Linked DNA regions of Rhinolophus ferrumequinum. The protein of the gene in region 3 interacts with the protein of the main gene of each other region in a pairwise test. Links are inferred from orthologs where the notes say so. Each region holds a gene or a part of one and is shown on either strand. Other genes may lie near its edges.

Region 1 (3,748 bases), on a different chromosome or scaffold from region 3:
ATGGCTTTTCAACCTTCGTGAACACTTGAAGCATCGGGGTACCCAGCTAAAGACGCAGCTGGGTATTCCCAGATATTCTAATTCAGGAGGTGTGGCTGGGCCCCAGGGGCCTGCATTTTAGAAAGCACACGGGTGGTCCAGCTCAGGTCGCAGGAAAACCACTTATTTCCGTGGGGCCGGATAAACAGAACACACTTCTGAGAAACACGCCGATGAAGTCAAACCAGGGCACTTGCCTCACCTCTCAGTCCCGCAGTTTGGCTCTCCTCCCGCTTGGGTTTATTCTGAACGCTCCGCCGCACTCGACTATTGCGGTTGCTCTGCCTTCTAGAGCACGGCTCTTTGGTCCTGAAGGGTTAGCTCGAGAAAGTAACTGCTGGCCGGCAAGCCAGCCACCGGGGGCTGCCTCTTACCGTTCACCGACACCCGGAACACGCAGTACGCGGTACCTACACTTCAGCTCAGCACTCCTGCCACCCGCCGCGGGATTCAAATAGCCGGCCCCGCCTCCTCAGCGTCTCGACGTTACTCCACGAATGTGTACGCCGCCGCCACCCGCACGTGTCTGAGAGCACCCAGAACCCTCCCAGGCCTCTACCTCGCCGTCCCAGGAACAGGAGCTTCGTGGACTCTGGGAGAAACCATTGCTAGTTGTGGGTGCGCACTGACCAAAGGGATCAGCTGCGAACCTGTGTCCACAGGGACTATTTTCTGTGAGAGTTCCGCGTAGGAACCCTTCGGTTGGCACTTTGAAGCCGCCTCCCGTCTTTCGATTGGATGCTGCAAACTTCGAAAAGAATAATTTGACCAATCCTGACAGAACGACGGGATGGCTCTAACCCAATCAGCCATCCCTACGGCAGCCGTTCCCTCTGTGGGTTGAGCGATTGGATGGGTTGCAGCCGGGAGTTGCCGACTGGTGTGGGTCACTTCTCGCGCTCCACCTCTTTCCCTCAAACCCTGCCTCCGCCTGCAGAGGAGCTCTACCTGGTTTTGGGTTTGCGCCTGCTCAGTAACGCTTTAAGCCCGCCGTTGGGCTCCAGGTTCTGCTCTGATTGGCTGATGACCCTTCTCGTCTGCCAGACTGCAGCCTCTCTTCCCTCCCTCCACCTGGGTGGGTTAGTATGAGCCCACCCAATGCAGGGTGCTGATTGGTTGAGTGCTGGCCGATGCTGCCGGTTGATTGGTGGAGCTTAGAGTCACTCTGGGAGAGGTGGGGGAAGGGCTCCAGGATGACTGAGGAGCCCAGGGGCGGGGTGGACAGGAGGACCGGCCAACCCTGGGGTGTGGGACGGAAAGTGCGTGCGTGTGTGTGTCTGTAAGAGAAGGAAGGTGGCGAAGGGAGGAGATTTCGAGTGGGAGGAGGGAGGGGAAGGGCGGGAGAAGAGAAAGGTGGGAGGAAAGCCAGGTGGGAGGGTGGCGACTCACTCAGGACCCAGTGGGGGCAGCGCGATGAGGCGGGTGACCCTGTTCCTTAATGGCAGCCCCAAGAATGGAAAGGTAAGGGGGTCCGGAGGAGGCGAAGAGGGCCTCGCTGCTGGGGGCGTGGGCAACGGAGTGCGGAGCGGGCTCTTAGGGCAGAGGGCTGAAGTTGGGGAGAGGGGTTGGGAGGTGGACGTGCGCCGGTGTGGGGTGCGTTTAGAAGGTGAACATCGGGTCCCCGCGGCTTCCTCCCAACCCCGGGATTTCTAGCTGGAGCCTCTTTTACTCCCCAGTCGCCCCAGGAACTAGCGCAGGTCAGCTTGTGCTTGATCTTTACAAGTCCAGGTATGGGGCGGGAAGAACGCAGGTTACGGAGGGTCGCTGTCACCTGATCGCTTGATACTGAGCGCTCTTCCCACCTCCTCCCGGAAGACCCCGCTGCCCCCCTCCCCTGACTACTGAGGCCGCTTATTTCCACCTTCGTGCTGACTAATGCTCTGCTCCAGAAAAGTGGTGGATACAACTGAGGCATGTAAGGTTGACCGCGTAAAAATTAAACTCTTTATCAGTGGATAAATGAAATATTCTTCTGGGTCGCATAGAGGATTGAAAATTAGGGACATGAGGTCCCCCGCCGCCACCAAACTTCTGTACTCTGTTATTTCGCCTTATTTTAGCTCCTTAGAGGACTCTGACAATAGGCCAAAATGGATTGATTTGACATTACTCCTTGCTGTGTTAGGCCTTTGTTCAGGGTGTGGTATTAAACATTTTTCCAACGCCAGAACAAGCCAAAATGAATCCTGCTGCTTCTCAGCTTCTTGCCCCACCCATGAAAGTTGTTGGGCTTCTTTGGAAAATTTGACTGTTCAAGGCAGACATTTATGGTGCGTCTAAATGACGTCTACAAGTAACTAAGCATTAGAGTCTAAAGTAAAGGTAAATTGGCCTCACTGTATTATTTGCTAGCATGCTTTGTCTTCTGCATATTTTGAAAATATTGTAAATTTCTAAATAGTGTAAATGTGCCACGGTATAAAACGTGGTTTCCCAACTATTCTGCAATTTTGAGTAAACATGTTCTAAAAATCTGAACCACAGTGTAGTTTGTTGACTATAATTTTGTGTTCTTCTGGTTTTAGATATTTAATACCCATATAAAACAGAACTGGCATAAATTCAAGTTTTGGGGTTTTTTATAAATGCTGCCTAAAAATATGCTTAGCAAGATTTACATTACTTCTGATCATATTAACTTTTTCTTTCTCTACCTGTTTTGTCTGTTAACTACCACTCACAACCTAAAACTTACATTGTTATTGAAAGATTTAGTATATCCAAAGTTATAATTGTAATATGTTCTCAAAACCAGACCTCTGATTGACCTTTTTCCCAACATCTCTGCTATGTTATTCCATGAAAGACAAAATGTTTAGACCCAGTCATAAATATTTAACTGTGCTATGAATCTCTTCTGAAACCACTGAATTTTGTTATTGCCAAAGATTGTCTCTATCTTTAATAAAAATTTTAAAGCTGTCTAGTTTTGATGAGGTTAGATTTTTAGAGAATCTCAGAAGATTGGAAGACACATCTCAAATAAAGATAAATATGTTTATGTTACAAAAATCCATAAAGCCCCAAACTGGAGAATACTAGTATGATTCAATATTAAAAATAAGTCATGCCATAATCCTTACTACTCAACTGGAAAACATATTCTATGCCAAAGTTGTCAGTGTTTCCTCTCCCTTCAGCTGATTAAATATATATATATATATATATATATATATATATATATATGTATTTATACATATATGTATAATTCTGGAACATCGAATATATATATATATATTATTTGAGAAAAAGAGCAGAATAATAACAGCCTACATGTTAATATAAATAAAGTTTATTTATATTATAGTTAGCCAGGATGGCATGATCATGACATTGATGTTCATGAAAAACATGATGGAACAAAGCACAACTGTGAAATAGAGTTGGATTTCCCATCCACCAGTTGGAATAGCTGTGTCACTCCCATTATCTCTTTATTTACCTAGCTTCAATTTTTGTTTCCTGGTCATAAGAATAATGTCTGGTTTTTCAAATTTCCCTCCTGTAAAGCTTATCCAGTGGTTGCCATACTGGGCTATGAAGCCTTGGGTGGGGGAGGCAGTCACTGCAGGTGAAATCTGCTCACTGTGACTTTTCTGTGTAACTAATGAATAAACAATCAAGTGTAACTAGTGAATGTTTTGAGGTAGAAGAGAGGGCTGTGCATTCTTTAAAACAGTGAGATGGTACACCACAAAGGCTAGACAAG
Region 2 (3,748 bases), on a different chromosome or scaffold from region 3:
TCGCTAGGGCCGGCTCCCCGATGGAGCCCCCGCAGGACAGGGACCAGCCCCTTTGCTTGCTTCCTCCCCCAACCAGGTGGCCACTTGGAGGCTATGAGTGCCCTCTGCGGGTCCTAGAATCTGAAGTTGGTCGAAGAAGGGATGGACTGGAGGTTCTTGAGGGTACCTGGGGGCCCCCCCCCTCCTGTCAGTCGGGGCCTGGGGTCTTGGGTTGTCTCGCCCCCGCCCCCTTCCCGTCCATCCGGATCCCACCCACCTGTCCCAGGTTGACGAAGCCGAATTTGCGGGCTAAGCGCTCGGCCTCCCGGTAACCCTGGGACACTCGCACGGCCCAGCTGCTGACATAGATGGGGACCCGGGCCGAAGCCCACCCCACAGCCAGGAAACAAACGAGGACCAGGCTCAGGGTCAAAGCCAGGCGCAACCAGAGAACAGTCCAGGCGGGCCGCATGGCGATGGGGGCGGGGTCGGGGTCTACAAATATCCCTCCCCCTGGCCAAACCGCCGAATTGGTCCAAGAGCCCGCCCCGCCCCCGGCGCCATAGCAACCCCTGAAAGGCTTCAACTCCCAGGGGGCCTTGCGGCTCCCCATTCAGGGGCTCAAGGATCCGACAGAAATGGGCGGGGGAACACACGCTTTCCCTGGTCTTTTGCAGACCCAAACCCTCTGGAGTCTCCCCATTTGTACAATAACCCAATTCTTCCGACCCAGAGGAGCGGGTTCACTGTTACTATGATTGACCCGCCCCTTTATTTAGCCCCGCCCGCTTTTCTACATACTCCTCCCACTAAAACAATATCAGCCCTGCCTCCTCTCCAGCCCAACCAGAATCGTTCTTTCGAGTAAGTCCCGCCTCTTCAATTTAGCTCCGCCCTTCAGATTCCGTCCCGCCTCCTTTATGACCAGCCCCGCCCCTCCTCTGATTCTTGCCAATGAATCTCTTCCCGTTTCTCCAATCAGCTCGGGCTTTTCTCAGGCCCCACCCACCAGTTCCGCCCACCCCAGCACGCTTCGCTCCTCCCCAGCTCCACCCACACAAAGGCTCAGCCAATAATCCAAGGCTATGACCCCGCCCCTCCAATCAGCTACGTCCCTCTCCCGCTCGGCCAATTGGCGCCCTCGGCCGTCGCGCCCTGCCTCCTACCTCTGGAGTCGCGGCTGCGGCGGCCGCGGCGGGCCAGAGGGCAATGCGACGGGGGAGAAGGGGCAGGCCCCACCTCCTTTGTCCGCCCTGCCCTCCCATTGGCCGGTGCGAGGGTCAGGGGGTGGAGACCAGCCCCGGGGCGGAGACCAGCCCCGGGGCTGAGCGGTGCGGCTCGCTTCGGGGGAAGACAGCGCGCGCTCCGCAGGGTCGGTGCGCCGGGCTGCGGTCGAGCTCGGGTTGCCAGCCCCGGGACGGCCGGTACCATGGACGGCCTGCGCCAGCGCTTCGAGCGCCTTCTGGAACAGAGGAACTTGGCCACCGAAGCGCTAGAGGTGCTCGAAGCCAAGACCGGTGTCGACAAGCGGTACTTGGCCGCGGGTGAGCCGTCGGGGGCGCTCGGGGCCGCCGCCCCATTTCACCGATGGGCACACTGAGGCAACCCTGGGCACCCTGGGGCAACCGGGCCTCAGACCTGCCCCACTCCAGCTGGCCCAAGCTGCGGGGTCCGGACTGGACGGCGGGGCGTGCCCCGCTGTACCGCGGGGGGTAGACCTAGATCATGGCGGGGGAGGGGTCGTAGATCTGGACCACGGTGTGCTACAGGTCCTCTCCTGCCCCCGCCGTGCGACCTCAGGCGAGAGCCCCCCCTTTCTCAGCCCCCGCAGCACGCCCATTCTGGCCCTCGGGTCTGGAGGCCCGTCCTCTGCCCCCTCCCTCAGGGCTTTGGGTGCCTGCCAGGCCGAAGTCCGGTTCTTCCAGTTGCCCTGCCGTCCCCCGGGGAGAAGGGGGCAGGAAGGCAGCCAGTGCCCTGAGTCTGGCCACCCCTGTCCCTGATGGACCCCAGCCTGAAAGCAAGTGTAGAGATCTCGGTTTTCCGAAGGGATGCCCCCTGCCAGGAGGGAAAGGTCACGTCCACCTTCCCTCCCATTGTTTTCCTGCTAGTACCCTCCTTGGCCTGCCCTCTCCCCTGGTGGCCCAAGGGCTTTGACCCACTCTGCGTGAATAGTTGAGTTGAATAGTTGAGTTGGAGTTCGGTTGTTTGACAGCTGTGTTCATTTTGGAGAAAGCTTGGATGGGGACCCAGGAAGAAGGGGGTCCAGCCACATCTGACTGTAACTTCCATTCCAGTCCCTCCTCTTCCTTTCCTCCTCAATGGCCTGGTGTGGCTCCTGCCACTTTCTAAAACTGTCCAGTAAACACCCATTAAATGCCTTCCTTCCCTGTTTTGCAGTGTACCAGTCCCACCCACTTTGTCACCTCTCCCAGGAAACCCCCCTGGAATGAATCAAAGATGCTGGGGTGGGAGTGGTGGGGAAGGCTTTAAGTGAGGACAATGACAGATGTTTTGAGCACCTTCCATTTGTAGATCCTGGGAATCCACTTTCATCCCATTTCCCCATCAATCAGGGCATCCCCATGCCAAGCAGCTCAAGGAAGATTCGATATCTGTCCCCCCCAGATTCCTAGTGCCAAACCCATGTCAGCTCAGCCGAGGACTTGCCCCTGGGAGCCAGCCATTGACCTCCTGCCTGGCTTTCCACATCCCTGCTACCAATGGGTGGGGGATTTAGGTCACAGTGCACTGGGGAGGGGCCCACCAGGGAGGCTAGTGGTTACAGGGAGGAAACTAAGGCCCAGAGAGGCAGGGGCTGTTGGGAGGTTGCCCCTACCACCTGACCTGACTGGAATATCCACCCCTCCCCCGACCCCTCCTACCCTGAGCCCCATCTGTTGCTGATCTCAGGTTGTGCCCCCGCCAAGTCCAAGGTCATCCTCCCATTGCTGAGGCTGCAGGAATAGGGATTGAGGGGAGGGGTGCCCTGGGAGAGCCGCTGCTCCCCCTCTAGTGATTTCTAGAGAAGGGGTGACATTTCCCCACCCCCTCACCCACATGTGGGAACCCTTGGACCCCACCTGCCCCAAATGGCCAAATCCCCCTTCCCAAGTAATAGGAAACCCAGAGGCGCCAGCTGGGGAGGACCCCCTCCCACTCCTGACCCCAGACTGCGATAGATACTAATGCAGGTGGAGGGAAGGGTGTGGGTGACTCTGCCCTTTGGTCCATGAGTGGCCTCTCTCTCTCTCTCTCTCTCTCTGTCTCTCTCTCTCTGTCTCTCTCTCTCTCTCTTTGCAGATAACAGCCTCAGGGGAAGAGGCGGGAGGCTGTAAATGCTCCCAAATGACCCTGGGCAAGTTCCTCTCGCCCTGCTTCCTTCTCTCATTGCCTGAGACAGAACAGGGAAGCACAGAGCCCCATACATAAGAAGTACTTAATAAATGTGACAGTTACCATTGTTTTCAGAGTGACTAGTGCTCCTGGCTGCCCCCACTCCCACACTATTCTCCTCTGAGCCTTATTGGTGTTTCTGTGACCAGAGGCCCTCAGTAATGTGTGGAAAGGACGAGTCTTCTGTGTTGAATGTATTTAGCTAAACCCACAACCCTAAGAGGCAGGGCCACTACCACCCCATTGACAGATGGGGAAACTGAGTCTCCAAGCTCAGTGTCACATGGTAAGTGAGTGGAGGAGCAGAGGGCTCTCCAAGGTCTGGGGGCTCTAGACTGCCCTTTGCTGCCTCCCACTAAGACAAGGGGTCTCAAAC
Region 3 (3,748 bases):
GTTTTCCTTTCTTAAAATGTGTATACATTTTTTGGCACCCTTTGTATATACAATGGAATATTATTCAGCCTTAAAATGGAAGAAAATTCTGCAATATACTACAACATGGATGAACCTTGAGGACATCACAGTCAGTGAAAGAAGCCAATCACAGAAAGACAAATAATGTATGATTCCACTTATATGAGGTACTTAGTCAACATCATAAAGACACAAAGTAGAATGGTGATTGCCAGGAGCCAGGGGGAGGAAAGAATGGGGAGTTACTGTTTAATGGGTATAGTTCCAATTTTAAAGATGAAGAGAGTTCTGGGGATGGATGGTAGTGGTGATGGTTGCACAACGTCTATGTACTTAATACCACTGAACTGTACAGTTAAAATGGTTAAAATGGGAAACTTTACACTATGTGTATTTTACCTCAACAAAAAGAGTGGAAAAAAGAAAAGGATGGAAATATATTTATACGTATGTTTGTCTGTATAGGTATAAAATACCCCAAGATGGATACCTAAGAAATGTAAAACAGCTGGCTCCTATTACAAGGGAATATAGTTGGCTGGAGAACCTAGAAGGAAGGAAGACTATACCATATACCTTTTTTACTGCTTAAATTTTGAACCATGTTACTGGTTACTTCCTCAAAATCTATATAAATATACCAAAAAAATGTTTGCAGGAGTTAGAAAGAAATTAGTAAGTGCTAATATAACTATTACTAGATGTAGGAATTATTTTTAAAAGTATTTTGAGGGATCTTTCTTTTTCGAAAGATCCCACAAAACAGGAAAAAAATAGTTGAGTCATGCTCAATTTAAGGAAGTGTTTATTGACTACTTCATTCGAATGCCACTATTAGTAAATTCTTCCTCTTTGGGTCATGATTTTTATATCCTTTCTTATAACGCACAAACATAACTCAAAATTAATGTTGTCAAAGTTATATTTAGATTAAAGTATTATAGTAACTACTTCCTGAACCTTTTAGAAGACATTTCACTTCTTTATTTTTATTCTGTGGCACAAACCATTGGATCTATCATTTGTATCAATGTACCATTTAAAACATAAAAGTTTGTAGAACAGACTTTTTTGGTAAGTTGGTAACAGAAAATAAACTCTTTTATTTATTTATTTTTTTACCGTTTGCCCTCAACTGCAAATAGAAAAACTAAAGACTGGAGGAATTTGAGTTAAATCACTTAATATATATTTGATATAAAGCTAAGAGCATGCAGTGTAATTTTCCTTTTTAATCGATTGTTTTCTTCTTTGAAGCAAGTTCATGTTAAGAATTTAGTAAACCAAGTGTACTCTCTGAGTAATGGACTTACTAATGGAAAACATAACAGTAAATGTGCATGCAGACAACATATACAGAAAAGAGGAATCTAGAAATTCCTTTCAAAAAATGGCACATTAGAAAACTCCATGATTAAGTAATTCCACTTTAGTGAAAAGGAAAACTTTACGTCCATATGCCTTCACTTTTCCCATTATTACCAGGAAATCCTGAAATGAAAGCTCTGAGTCACGAGATCTCAAGGGATACTTCCTTCTGAACACACCCTACTGGAAACGTTTTTCCCTCTCCTTCAATTTCTCCAGAAACAGGCCCGGAGAACAATCCCCTCCCCCCCACGCCCCCTTCCAGAAAGTCAAGGCTTCGCCCACTCAACAAACAACCTCCTCCTCCTACCAAATCCCGGACGTTCCGATTGTGCCACCAAGGAAGGTGATTAAGTACAACCCCATGGAATGCGAGGGTCGATGAAGCATAGCCAGCGGGCTCGTTCTTCACGGGTCTCTGAGGATCTCACCCAAGAAGAACAAAAAGGGTTGACAAGGACCGGAATGAGAAAGAGTCCCAGAGCTGAGGCGGGGGCTGACGGCGGCGCCCCGGGCCCGGCCTCAGGGCTCTGTCCCCAGCCCCGGCCCGGGAGGGACCACGACACCCGCAGGGTCGCAGGCAGGCACAGCGCGCCGCTCAGGCAAACTTTCACCCCGGGCCCGGGAGGGCGCACGGGGGGGTGCGGAACCCACCGAGGAGAGGACGTCGCCGCCGGCACCTCCCGAAACCCGTAGACGTTCTCCGCTTAGTGATCCAGGGTCCCCACGCCTCCGCTCCTTGTCCCCGCGCCCCGGACGCAGCCTGAGCGTCCCTCTTCCTCCTCAGCGATGCTTACCTAGGCCGCGGAAACCAGCTCCTGCCACCGCCGCCTCCGGTCACTGGCACGGACTTCCGAGACCCGAAGGGAGGAAAGCGGCGGGCGCCCGAAGACCGCCCTCGAGTCGCGTCACGGAACCACCCCCGCCGTCCACCCGCGCAGGCGCGCGATGCCCAGTCAGGTGACCCGTCCCCATGGTAACAGGGCAGCGGTGTGGTAACGGTGACCGGGCCGGGTGCGGGATTGAAGAATGTGGAGCCGCCCACGCTGACACCGGTTATGCTCACCACCTTCTCCACCCTCTCAGTAGTTCCTGCCCAAGGGCCCGGTGCCACCTGCTCACTGCTGTGTTCGTGGCGCTTGGTCACGTGGTACCCATCCCTTCCGACACAAAGAAACTCCGAAGAACCTATCTTTTGGAGATTCCTACCCCAGCTTTGGACTTCACCACTGTGGTCACTAACCTCTTCACCCACAGGCTCAGAAACATTCCTCCCACCAACCTTTTTCAGCTCCTGCCCTCTTTGTGTTACAACTTATTTCTTTGACTTTTATTACTCTTTGTCTATCTGAACTAAAGTTCATTGGCTGTTGAAGGTTGTGTAGTCCTGCACAAAATTTCTGTATCCTAATATAAAAACTGAAAACTGTATTTCTTCAGGGCTAACTATGTTCCAGGCACTGCCCTAAGAACTTGATGTATATAGTCTTATTTGGTCCTCACATCAATCTATAAAATAGCTAACATCTGCATTAGCATACAAAGAAACTGAGGCACACCTTTCCTAAGTTACCTAAGTTTACCATAGTTACCATGGAGTAACATAGAATACGAAATAGCATTAACGTAGAAGCATTTTTTGTCTAGCTGTTATTTAGTGCCACAATAAACTGGTAATTCTAATAAAAATCTGAGCAGAAAAGAGATGACAAGTAAATAAGATGAACACTGCCCTCAGAGAATTTATGGTCTAGTTGATAAAATAGACATTTAAAAATAATTACACGCTAGATTGGGAAAAAAGAAATAAAACCATTTTTGTTCGCAGGTGGCATGATTATGTACACAATCCCAAAGAATTGGGCCCTCTCCCCAAAAAAACCTAAAATTAATACACAAGTACAGCAAGTTTGCATGGTACAAGTTTAATATACATAAAACTATTATTGCTTTTTGTATACTAGCAGTGAATGATTAGAATTTGAAATTAAAGAAACTATCATTTATATTAATGCAAAAAAGTGAAATACTTTGGTATAAATCTAACAAAATATATACAAGATCTATATGAGTAAAACTATAAAATCCTGATGAAATAAAAGATCCAAGTAAATGGAAGTATATTCCATGTTCATAGATAGTAAGATTCAGTGTTGTCAAGATGTCAGTTCTTCTCAACTTGATAGATTTGACACAGACTCAATCAAAATCCTAGTTATTTTTTTTATATCAACAAAAATCCCAGAAGAGCCAACATAATATCGAAGAAGAGAACCAAGTCACAGGCCTAATAGTGCCCTACATCATTAAGCTATGTAATCAAGACAATGTGTTATTAGCAAAAGACTAGACAAACAGA

The links.
Region 1: the proteins of SDCBP (region 3) and KCTD9 interact in binary tests that used the Homo sapiens proteins (3 or more experiments, as listed by UniProt). The two-hybrid records come from large-scale screens. The link is inferred for Rhinolophus ferrumequinum from reciprocal best matches to the Homo sapiens genes SDCBP and KCTD9.
Region 2: the proteins of SDCBP (region 3) and REEP6 interact in binary tests that used the Homo sapiens proteins (3 or more experiments, as listed by UniProt). The two-hybrid records come from large-scale screens. The link is inferred for Rhinolophus ferrumequinum from reciprocal best matches to the Homo sapiens genes SDCBP and REEP6.

What each region holds. Positions count from the first base shown.
Region 1 is NC_046301.1:41,690,241-41,693,988, forward strand, and holds the start of KCTD9 (BTB/POZ domain-containing protein KCTD9), read left to right. Parts: upstream 1-1,356; 5' UTR 1,357-1,452; coding exon 1,453-1,500; intron 1,501-3,748. UniProt on the Homo sapiens protein: Substrate-specific adapter of a BCR (BTB-CUL3-RBX1) E3 ubiquitin-protein ligase complex, which mediates the ubiquitination of target proteins, leading to their degradation by the proteasome.
Region 2 is NC_046301.1:61,581,120-61,584,867, reverse strand, and holds the start of REEP6 (receptor expression-enhancing protein 6), read left to right. Parts: upstream 1-1,281; 5' UTR 1,282-1,408; coding exon 1,409-1,523; intron 1,524-3,748. UniProt on the Homo sapiens protein: Required for correct function and survival of retinal photoreceptors. Required for retinal development.
Region 3 is NC_046297.1:20,117,262-20,121,009, forward strand, and holds the start of SDCBP (syntenin-1), read right to left. Parts: upstream 2,327-3,748; 5' UTR 2,187-2,326; intron 2,064-2,186; exon of another isoform or gene 2,044-2,063; intron 1-2,043. UniProt on the Homo sapiens protein: Multifunctional adapter protein involved in diverse array of functions including trafficking of transmembrane proteins, neuro and immunomodulation, exosome biogenesis, and tumorigenesis.